Macaca mulatta: one gene and its partners. The protein of the gene in region 1 purifies or fractionates together with the protein of each later gene. This does not show direct contact. Links are inferred from orthologs where the notes say so. Each region holds a gene or a part of one and is shown in the gene's direction. Other genes may lie near its edges. The genes, in order: DUSP9, PGRMC1 and MAPK11.

What was found.
Region 2: the proteins of DUSP9 (region 1) and PGRMC1 purify together in Homo sapiens (affinity purification with mass spectrometry; 3 studies listed by BioGRID). This does not show direct contact. The link is inferred for Macaca mulatta from reciprocal best matches to the Homo sapiens genes DUSP9 and PGRMC1.
Region 3: the proteins of DUSP9 (region 1) and MAPK11 purify together in Homo sapiens (affinity purification with mass spectrometry; 4 studies listed by BioGRID and IntAct, with this or other methods). This does not show direct contact. The link is inferred for Macaca mulatta from reciprocal best matches to the Homo sapiens genes DUSP9 and MAPK11.

Annotation. Positions count from the first base shown.
Region 1 is NC_133426.1:159,885,869-159,888,839, forward strand, and holds the end of DUSP9 (dual specificity protein phosphatase 9), read left to right. Parts: coding exon 1-136; intron 137-1,095; coding exon 1,096-1,551; intron 1,552-1,819; coding exon 1,820-2,145; 3' UTR 2,146-2,424; downstream 2,425-2,971. UniProt on the Homo sapiens protein: Inactivates MAP kinases. Has a specificity for the ERK family.
Region 2 is NC_133426.1:125,722,545-125,725,554, forward strand, and holds the end of PGRMC1 (membrane-associated progesterone receptor component 1), read left to right. Parts: intron 1-1,177; coding exon 1,178-1,281; 3' UTR 1,282-2,495; downstream 2,496-3,010. UniProt on the Homo sapiens protein: Component of a progesterone-binding protein complex. Binds progesterone. Has many reported cellular functions (heme homeostasis, interaction with CYPs). Required for the maintenance of uterine histoarchitecture and normal female reproductive lifespan.
Region 3 is NC_133415.1:1,180,793-1,185,103, forward strand, and holds the end of MAPK11 (mitogen-activated protein kinase 11), read left to right. Parts: intron 1-42; coding exon 43-154; intron 155-237; coding exon 238-267; intron 268-349; coding exon 350-397; intron 398-475; coding exon 476-590; intron 591-911; coding exon 912-983; intron 984-1,217; coding exon 1,218-1,297; intron 1,298-1,826; coding exon 1,827-1,905; intron 1,906-1,995; coding exon 1,996-2,169; intron 2,170-2,466; coding exon 2,467-2,546; 3' UTR 2,547-3,781; downstream 3,782-4,311. UniProt on the Homo sapiens protein: Serine/threonine kinase which acts as an essential component of the MAP kinase signal transduction pathway.

The DNA of each region.
Region 1 (2,971 bases):
CTGTACGACCAGGGTGGGGGCCGGCGCCGGCGCGGGGAGGCAGAGGCCGAGGCCGAGGAGTGGGAGGCCGAGTCGGTGCTGGGCACCCTGCTGCAGAAGCTGCGAGAGGAAGGCTACCTGGCCTACTACCTTCAGGGTAGGTGCCGCGGGGCCCTCCTTCCAGGGCGTTTGGGATTCATTTGACCTTAGGCCAGCCCCACTTCTTTTTTTCCAAAGCGAGTTGAGGCCCCCCTCCTCTGATGACCTGCCAGGCTGCTTTGAGAGGAGGGAAGCCTGAGTGTGACCGTGGGCAAGTTCTTTACCCTCGGCAGCCCAGTCTCTGAGCCTGGAAAATGGGGAGAATTGGCCTGACCTGAGCTAGTTCTCAGGATGCTCAAGAGCGAAGTAGAAAGTGTGGGCTCCCCAGGGTCTCGGCAAGGGTATCGCCACCTCTCCCACCTGCTCAGCAAATGAGCAAGGGAGGCAGGGGTCAGACAGCATTGGTGCAATCACGGCTCACTGAAGCCTCCTGGGCTCAAGCGATCCTCCCACCTTAGCCTCCTGAACAGCATATAAAGTGTCAGGTTTCCAGGCCGGGGAAATAGTATCTGTAAATAGAGATGCTGGCTTCTTGAGACTTTAGAACCATTCTGGTGGAATGTCACATTCTCCCCCAAGTTCCCCACATCTTGGGGTCCCACTTCATCCCTGAGGGTCAGGACATGCCCAGGCAGAGAACTTCCTTTTCTTTAACTGATGGCCACAGTCCTCCCTAAGGCTGGCAGTATATCTCAGCTCTGTTGAGCCCTCACACCTGCCTCAGCTTGACCCTAGGGGTGTAAGATCCTCTCCGGTGGTTCAGCGTGAGCCCAGCTTCTTGCAGCCCCAGCAGCTGCAGTGGGCACTTGCTGTCCAGAGCAGTGGCCGAGAGTGCTGAGTGAGGGTGGCTAGGGCTCCACGTGGCACCAGGACACACCAAGCTGCTGGGTTTTGTGTTCCTTTTAGGAACATTTGCAAACCCTCCAAGTTGTCTAGGGTCAGCTCCCCAGCCCCAGACAGAGGTACTTGGCTGCCCAGGAGGCCAGGTCAGCAGGCCCCATGCCCTCTCCCCCACAGGTGGCTTCAGCAGATTCCAGGCCGAGTGCCCTCACCTGTGTGAGACCAGCCTTAGTGGCCGTGCCGGCTCCAGCATGGCCCCGGTGCCCAGTCCGGTGCCTGTAGTGGGGTTGGGCAGTCTGTGCCTGGGCTCCGACTGCTCTGATGCGGAATCCGAGGCTGACCGCGACTCCATGAGCTGTGGCCTGGATTCGGAGGGTGCCACACCCCCGCCAGTGGGGCTGCGGGCATCCTTCCCTGTCCAGATCCTGCCCAACCTCTATCTGGGCAGTGCCCGGGATTCCGCCAACTTGGAGAGCCTGGCCAAACTGGGCATCCGCTACATCCTCAATGTCACCCCCAACCTCCCAAACTTCTTCGAGAAGAATGGCGACTTTCACTACAAGCAGATCCCCATCTCCGACCACTGGAGCCAGAACCTGTCGCAGTTCTTCCCGGAGGCTATTGAGTTCATCGGTGAGTCCGCCCCACCCGCCCTCCCCAAGACCTGCTCTGGCCTCCCCCTTGTGAGCACTCCTCCCAAGCCCAGCTGCCATTCCCAGAGCCAAAAGCCAGGGTGGCACTTCTAGGGGACAGGCAGAGCTAGGGCGGCCCCCAGAGGCCACCAGCGAAAACTCCAGGCCGTGGCCATCTGGCTCAGGGGGCAGGGCGGGGTCTTCGGAAGGCCTCGGCCTCACACACGCTTGCCCTCGGGGTCTCCCGGGCCCTGTCCTGCCCCATCTAGATGAGGCCTTGTCCCAGAACTGCGGGGTGCTCGTCCACTGCCTGGCGGGGGTCAGCCGTTCTGTCACCGTCACTGTGGCCTACCTCATGCAGAAGCTCCACCTCTCTCTCAACGATGCCTATGACCTGGTCAAGAGAAAGAAGTCTAACATCTCCCCCAACTTCAACTTCATGGGGCAGTTGCTGGACTTTGAGCGCAGCCTGCGGCTGGAGGAGCGCCGCTCACAGGAGCAGGGCAGTGGGGGGCAGGCATCCATGGCCTCTGACCCGCCCTCCTTCTTCACCACCCCCACCAGTGATGGCGCCTTCGAGCTGGCCCCTACCTAGGGCCCAGTGGCCGGCGGGCCGGCCCCTGCCCCACCCCCACCCACGGGTGTCCCTGCCCACTCGTGCGGCAAGGGAGGGGAGGGCGGGAGGGCTCGGCCTGAGCAGGGTGCTGGGGGGAGAGCGCAATACCTCACGCGGGCTGGCGTCCTAATCAACGTGCCTACGGCAGGGCTGCTCTAAGCCTGCCTCTTCTGCGACTGTTACTTTTTGCTTTGCGGGATGGGGGTGGGGGTTCCCTCTCCAGGTGGTTGTCCAGGCCCCGGCCCCGGCCCTGGGTGCTCGGCCAGCTCGGCTGGGCCCTGCACCTCCCTGCGCTTCCTCCTTCAGGAAGGGTGTGTCTCACCTTGTTGCCACAGGGACTGGCTCCCAGTCCCTCCCCTGTCCCCAAATGGTTGCTTGGGGGAGAGGAGTTTGCCATCACTGGTGTTGTCACCTCCCTGTTTCTCCACCAAGGGCTTGGGCCTCTCGGGGCTGGGGCCTCCCAGGGAATGGGGACCCAGAGGTGCAGTGGCTGCCTGCATCCATGGCCTAGGAGCGACTGGGCAGGTTCCCGGCCACACATCTGGTGGGCTTTTTTTTTTCCCTCTTCCCCCAGATGTCTTGACGGGATCACTGGGGCTCTTTGTGAGTGAGGGTGGTCAAACTGCTGCCGGAGGAGATGGGGTCTCAGAGCGAGAGCTGGGGAGGGGGAGGGGAAGAAGAAGGCCTCACTTTTGCTGCTGCGGGGCCCACACAGCCGCTGCTACTTTGGGGGCTGGGGAAGGGGCCAAGCTGCAGACACACACAGTCATTCATTTCTGCCCACACCCCTGTGGGTGGCGGGTGT
Region 2 (3,010 bases), about 34 Mb from region 1:
TCCTTTACCACTTCCTTTAACCACCTGTAGGTTTTTCTCTGTGATGGGAAAAACATTCTGTCTCCTGCTATCCTCTTCATCTATGAGACTGTTATTCCTTCCTTTCACTGTCAAACTTCTTACAAGTTTTTGCTCCTAACCACTGCTTCATTTCCTCTCTATACCTTCTTCCTCCCTACAGTATGGCTTCTATCCCCACAATTGGATTGAACTCTCTTTCTGAAAGATTTTCAGGGAAACCTTTTTTTTTCCTGCCAATCCTGACTTCACTTGTCCATTCCATGTTGTAGATGTCCTGTCATGTGAGCCTCCAGAATGGCTCCCTCCACAGAGTTTCCATTTTGGTCCATGGGAACTCCAATTTTCACTTAATTCATGCTTCCAGTTTTCTTTCAAAGTACTTCTCATTCTGTCCTTTTCCATTCCCCTGGACACCACCCTACTCCTGCCTCTGGTTCGTTTGCATCTGGATCTGCACGCTAGCCTCCGGATCGCCCTGTCCCCAGTCTCTCCTTACTGAAATCTGCCCTATGCACCACATTGATAATATTGTTGTTAAAACACTATTTTACTGTGTCATTCCTTCGCTTGTAAACCTTCAGTGCCCTTTGCCACCTATAAGTCCGGTCTCCTCAGGCTGGCTTTTCAGATCTTTCATAATATTTCCCCACACTACTTAGCCAATCTTATCTCCTACTAACTTCTAAATGTTAACTACTCCTGCCAACTTGGTCTCTTTACTGCTTCCCAGATACATTGTCTCACCTGTATGCATTTGTACATGACGTTTTCATTTTCTGGAACTCCCTCCCTAAATCCTTGTATACATTTTTTCCAAAATATATCCTCCTTCCATGAAGTATTCTGTAACCCTTCTGATGAACTCATAACTTGCCCTTGTTCTTCTAAACATTCCCTACACACAAACAATTCATTTTGACATTACCTTGCACACTCATTGCCAGACATTGCCACCTGTTTTATATGTCTATCTTCTGAATAAAACGAATTCCCTGTTAGCAAGGACAGTGGTATAAACCACCTTTGTATCCTTCAAGAAGCCCAACACATTGCTGAGTATATTGTAGGCCTCTAATAAATGCTTTAAATTGAAATGTGGTAATGATGTTTTAGAAAGAATGAGAATGACCATTTGTGTTTTCTTCTCCACCTCCAGTCAAGTATCATCACGTGGGCAAACTGCTGAAGGAGGGGGAGGAGCCCACTGTGTACTCAGATGAGGAAGAACCAAAAGATGAGAGTGCTCGGAAAAATGATTAAAGCATTCAGTGGAAGTATATCTATTTTTGTATTTTGCAAAATCATTTGTAACAGTCCACTCTGTCTTTAAAACGTAGTGATTACAATATTTAGAAAAATTTTGAGCACTTGCTGTAAGTTTTTTAATTAACATCACTAGTGACACTAATAAAATTAACTTCTGTCTTAGAATGCATGATGTGTTTGTGTGTCACAAATCCAGAAAGTGAACTGCAGTGCTGTAATACACATGTTAATACTGTTTTTCTTCTATCTGTAGTTAGTACAGGATGAATTTAAATGTGTTTTTCCTGAGAGACAAGGAAGACTTGGGTATTTCCCAAAAAATCTTAAATGTGCACCAAGAACAAAGGATCAACTTTTAGTCATGATGTTCTCTAAAGATAACAAATCCTTTTTTTTTTTTCTCAATTGACTTAACTGCATGATTTCTGTTTTATCTACCTCTAAAGCAAATCTGCAGTGTTCCAAAGACTTTGGTATTGATTAAAGCACTGTCCAGTAATGAAATCTCAAAACAGAGCTCAGCTGCAAAAAAGCATATTTTCTGTGTTTCTGGACTGCATTGTTGTCCTTGCCCTCACATAGACACTCAGACACCTTCACAAACACAGTAGTCTATAGTTAGGATTAAAATAGGATCTGAACATTCAAAAGAAAGCTTTGAAAAAAAACAGCTGGCTGGCCTAAAAACCTAAATATATGGTGAAGATTGTAGGACTGTCTTCCCAAGCCCCATGTTCATGGTGGGGCAATGGTTATTTGGTTATTTTCCTCAATTGGTTATTCTCATTTGAAATGAGGGAGGGACATACAGAATAGGAACAGGTGTTTGCTCTCCTAAGAGCCTTCATGCGCACGCCTGAACCACGAGGAAACAGTACAGTCACTAACCAAGTGGATTTTAAAGTAAAGTATATTCATAACATAACAGTTATTCTGTTGTTACAAAACTATACCCACTGCAAAAGTAGTCGTCAAGTGTCTAGGTCTTTGATATTGCTCTTTTGGTTAACACTAAGCTTAAGTAGACTATACAGTTGTATGAATTTGTAAAAGTATTATATGAACAGCTAGTGAGATTTCAAACTCTTGTAATTGTGGTTAAATAGTCGTTGTATTTTCTTGTGAACTGTGTTTAATGATTTTACCTCAAATCAGAAAACAAAATGATATGCTTTGGTCAGTTAATAAAAATGGTTTTACCCACTATAGTGTGGTGACTTATTTAAATTTTTTAAAAAACCTTATTCTAGGGAATCTGATTCAGACATTTTACTTTGGCTTAAAATTCAGTTTCACTTTTGAGTGCAGAGTTTTTGTATTCCAAAAGAAACAAGCGGCAAAATTTCACGGAGACCCCACACCAAAAACCAAATACCAGCTTGTCCTGTTAAGACATAGTGAATTGAATTGCTTTTTCTGTGACTTGTCAAAGTTTTGCCTAAATCAGAACTTTCTAAACTGTAAATGGCAGATCTCCACCTTGAAGTCTATAGCCAGGTTCTTAAGAAGTAGTATTACTGAAGACTTTGTCATTGCCAAGTACTAAGGAAGGGTTTTGGGTTTTTTTATGTTAATGAATTTTCTGATCAGGAAAGTATCAGAATCCTTACAGTAGCAAAGTTAATTCACCTCATATCAAAAGAAGAATAACAGATTTGCATATGCAGTCAGTTGTATAAACAAAGACAACCCATTAGTGTTTTGTCATTTTAATGTTAACATT
Region 3 (4,311 bases), on another chromosome or scaffold:
GCGGCGGTGGGGCCCTGTCCTGACCCCCTGACCCCGCCCCAGGTACTTGGTGACCACCCTCATGGGTGCCGACCTGAACAACATCGTCAAGTGCCAGGCGCTGAGCGACGAGCACGTTCAGTTCCTGGTTTACCAACTGCTGCGCGGGCTAAAGGTAGGGCGCCCTGGGTTTCGCGGGTCCCCTCGCGGGGGGCGGGCGGGCCGGGCCTGGCGCTCACCACGATCCCCCTCCCGCAGTACATCCACTCGGCCGGGATCATCCACCGGGTAGGTGCGACCGCAGGGTGAGGGTCGGGTCCAGCAGGGCTCCGTCCCGGCCTCCTGTGCTCACGCTCCGCGTGACCTGCAGGACCTGAAGCCCAGCAACGTGGCTGTGAACGAGGACTGTGAGCTCAGGGTGAGGCCCGCGGGCAGGGATGGGCGGGGCGGTGGCGAAGCCCGTGAGGAGCTTGAGAACACCTCGTGGTCGCCCCAGATCCTGGACTTCGGGCTGGCGCGCCAGGCAGATGAGGAGATGACCGGCTACGTGGCCACGCGCTGGTACCGGGCACCTGAGATAATGCTAAACTGGATGCATTACAACCAGACAGGTGCAGGGGGAAGGCCTGGGGGGACGAAGGCCGAGGGCCTCGTCTGGCCCTGGACTGGTTCTGCATGCCAGGTCTTGGGGGGCGGGCAAGGTCCCCAAGAATGTGGGACCCACATTCAAAGGCAGCCCTTCAGAGGCCGCTAGAGCATGACGGGTGCTGGCCTCCTCTGGCCCTGCAGCTACAGGCCTCCCCCTGCCCAGGGGGGTTGGGTATGGCGGAGGAGGGGGTCTGCCCATCTCAGGGCCTGGATGTGACTGTGGGTCTCCTGGAGGAGGGACTTGGGGTGAGCACACTGATGGAGGCCCCCTCGCCCTCAAACAGTGGACATCTGGTCCGTGGGCTGCATCATGGCTGAGCTGCTCCAGGGCAAGGCCCTCTTCCCGGGAAGCGACTGTATCCTTGGCTCAGGTTGGGGAGCAGGGTCAAACAGGGCCCCTCTTGTAGGGTAGGGACCAGTGCTGGCCCCTTCTGGCGGGTCTTGCCTCTTCTGCCCCCCATGCCATGCTACTTTGGGCTGGCCATCCTCAGCTCTAGGAGAGCGGGCTCTGGGCAGCGCCCCAAAGTTCTGGGTCTGGGGGCCCAAGAGAGGTCCTTGGCTGGCCCGTGGGTGTTTCCTGAGTGATACAGACATTGACCAGCTGAAGCGCATCATGGAAGTGGTGGGCACACCCAGCCCCGAGGTTCTGGCAAAGATCTCCTCGGAACACGTGAGTTGGTGCCTGCCTCTGCTGGTCGAGTCCCAGGCTCTCTGCCTCTGCTGGTCGAGTCTGCCTCTCTGCTGGTCGAGTCTCCTCCCTCTGCTGGTCGAGTCCCAGGCTCTCTCGGGGAGAGGGTGGTGTGGAAATGTGGGGACAATATGGGGAACATGGGATGTGGTGGGATAGAGACTACGTCAGGTGCCAATCCCTGCAGGGGAAACAGGAGAAGGGGGAAGATGTTCCTGACACCAGGGACAGTGAGTGCAAAACCATGACCCCAGCAAGCAGTGCCTGGCCAGGGCAGTGGGGTTGGGCTGGGTGGAGGGAGTGTACTTGGACCCAGCTCCTGCAGGCGTTAGGGGCCAAGTGAGGAGCTAGTCACCGGACCCTATGTGGAGAGAGTCACTGGTCTGCCTGTGCCCTTGTCCTAGCCTGTTGGAGTGAATTGAGTCTGGGGGCTTGCCAAGAGAAGCCCCAGTTTGGGGCCAGGGAGGCAGAGAGTGAGCAGCCTCCCCAGGTGTTCTCGTGTGCCCTCCAGGCCCGGACATACATCCAGTCCCTGCCCCCCATGCCCCAGAAGGACCTGAGCAGCATCTTCCATGGAGCCAACCCCCTGGGTGAGGACTGCCCTGGGGCTAGACTGGGCTCCATATCTGGCCCTGGATACAGAGCTGACCCTCTCCTCCCTGCCACTGGCTCCCCTGCAGCCATAGACCTCCTTGGAAGGATGCTGGTGCTGGACAGTGACCAGAGGGTCAGTGCTGCCGAGGCATTGGCCCACGCCTACTTCAGCCAGTACCATGACCCTGAGGATGAGCCAGAGGCCGAGCCGTATGATGAGAGCGTTGAGGCTAAGGAGCGCACGCTGGAGGAGTGGAAGGGTGGGCATGGCAGTGGCTGTGGGTGGGTCCAGGGGCCTGCAGGCTCCATTTCCCCAGAGGCAGGAAATGCCCCGGTTCCTCTCCAGACTGGTCAGGTGTGGAAGGGCGTTCGGGTGTCCAGCACAGGCTGGGGGTGGGTGGGGTTGGGGAGTGGCACAGGGCAGGTTCTGGCTCCCAGACTCTGCTGAGGCTGCTGTCACAGGGTGGTGGGCCTGGGCTAGGTGGCAGGTGCCAGACAAGCAGGTGGGGGGCTGGACTGTGGGAGGCACAGGCTCACCCTTTCCCTTCACCTCCTAGAGCTCACCTACCAGGAAGTCCTCAGCTTCAAGCCCCCAGAGCCACCGAAGCCGCCTGGCAGCCTGGAGATTGAGCAGTGAGGTGCCGCCCAGCAGCCCCTAAGAGCTCGTGGAGGGGCTTGGGCCTGCACCCTTCCACAGCTGGTCCGATTTCCTCAAGAGGCACCTCCCACATTCCTATGGTCACTGACTCCTGGCCTAGGACCCCTCGCCTTCAGGATAATCTACACACATGTATGCATGCACAAACATGTGTGTACATGTGCTTGCCATGTGTAGGAGTCTGGGCACAAGTGTCCCTGGGCCTACCTTGGTCCTCCTGCTCCCTTCTGGCTACTGCGCTCTCCATTGGGACCTGACTGTGGGGTCCTGGATGCCAAAAGGGCACCCCTGCGGAGTTCCCCTGTCTGTCCCAGGCTGACCCATTGGGGAGCATCAACCTTGGGGTCTCTTCTGTCCCAGGGCTCTCTGGAGGACACGCTGGGGCCGGGACCCTGGGAGACTCAAAGGGAGAGGTCTCAGTGGTTAGAGCTGCTCAGCCTGGAAGTAGGGGGCTGTCCTGGTCAGTGCTGAGACCCACAGGTCTAAGAGGAGTGGCAGAGCCAGTGTGCCACCAGGCTGGGCACGGACAACCACCAGGTGTCAAATGAGAAAAGCTGCCTGGAGCCTTGTGTTCACCCGTGGGTGTGTGTGGGCACATGTGGATGAGCGTGCACTCCTCGTGTTCATATGTCAGGGCACATGTGATATGGTGCATGTGAATCTGTGGGCGCCTAAGGGCCAGCAGCCATGCCTGGCAAGAAGCTGGCGCTGGGGCGGGCGTGCTGTTGCCTTCCCTCTCCTCAGTTCCTGATGCTGTGAGGGGTGTTTCAGACTGGGGGCTCCAGTGGGCGAAAGGGCAGCCACATGAGCGCCAGCACGGGCTTTCTCCTCGGATATGTGACCCGCAGCAGGCTCCTGAGGCTGGGGGTGACTGGGTGGTTTGGCCTTGAGGACGCTAAGGCAGGCAGCACACGCGGGTGTGGACTTGGACTCGAACACTTGTGCGCCGCACCCTGGCCCGCTCTCTACCTCTGCCCACCGTTGTGGCCCTGCAGCCGGAGATCTGAGGTGCTCTGGTCTGCGTGTCATTCCTCTTTCCTTGTCCCAGGATGGAGCTGATCCAGTAACCTCGGAGACGGGACCCTGCCCAGAGCTGAGTTGGGGGTATGGCTCTGCCCTGGAAAGGGGGTGACCTCTTGCCTCGAGGGGCCCAGGGAAGCCTGGGTGTCAAGTGCCTGCACCAGGGGTGCACAATAAAGGGGGTTATCTCGCTCGGTTCATATCCAAAGGCCACTCCAGGCCCTGCTGCCCCCGCCATCCCCACTGCTGGGCATGGGGGGAGTGTCTGGGTCACTCTGCATCACTCACCTCTAGCTGGCCAGATCCCTCAGGCCCCCAGTCAGACCAGTGGCCATCTTCTGGCACCCTCCCTGCTCCCTGGAGGGTCTGAGCCCAGGGGGACCAGGGGAGGACACGGCTGATGGGTGGGCTCTGAGGGCACAGGGTGGGACGGCCACCCAGATGGTGACCCCAGCTGCCCTGTGGGGATGTACTGGGCAGGCTTGGCTTTGGGCCAAGATCCAGACACCACCTCCCTACCCCTCAGTGGTCAGGGAAGCTGGCTGGGGGGGAGTTGGGTGTCAAGGGAGCAAGGGTCTGCCCATCCCTGGGTGGGGGCTGGGTGGGCTAGGGAAAATAGCTTTCCTTTCCTTCCTGGTGAAGGAAAAAGAGGCCACTTTAACCCAGAGAATGTGTGTGCTGGTCCCGTTCCCACTATGCTCTGCAGCTTACGTGTGGGGGAGGG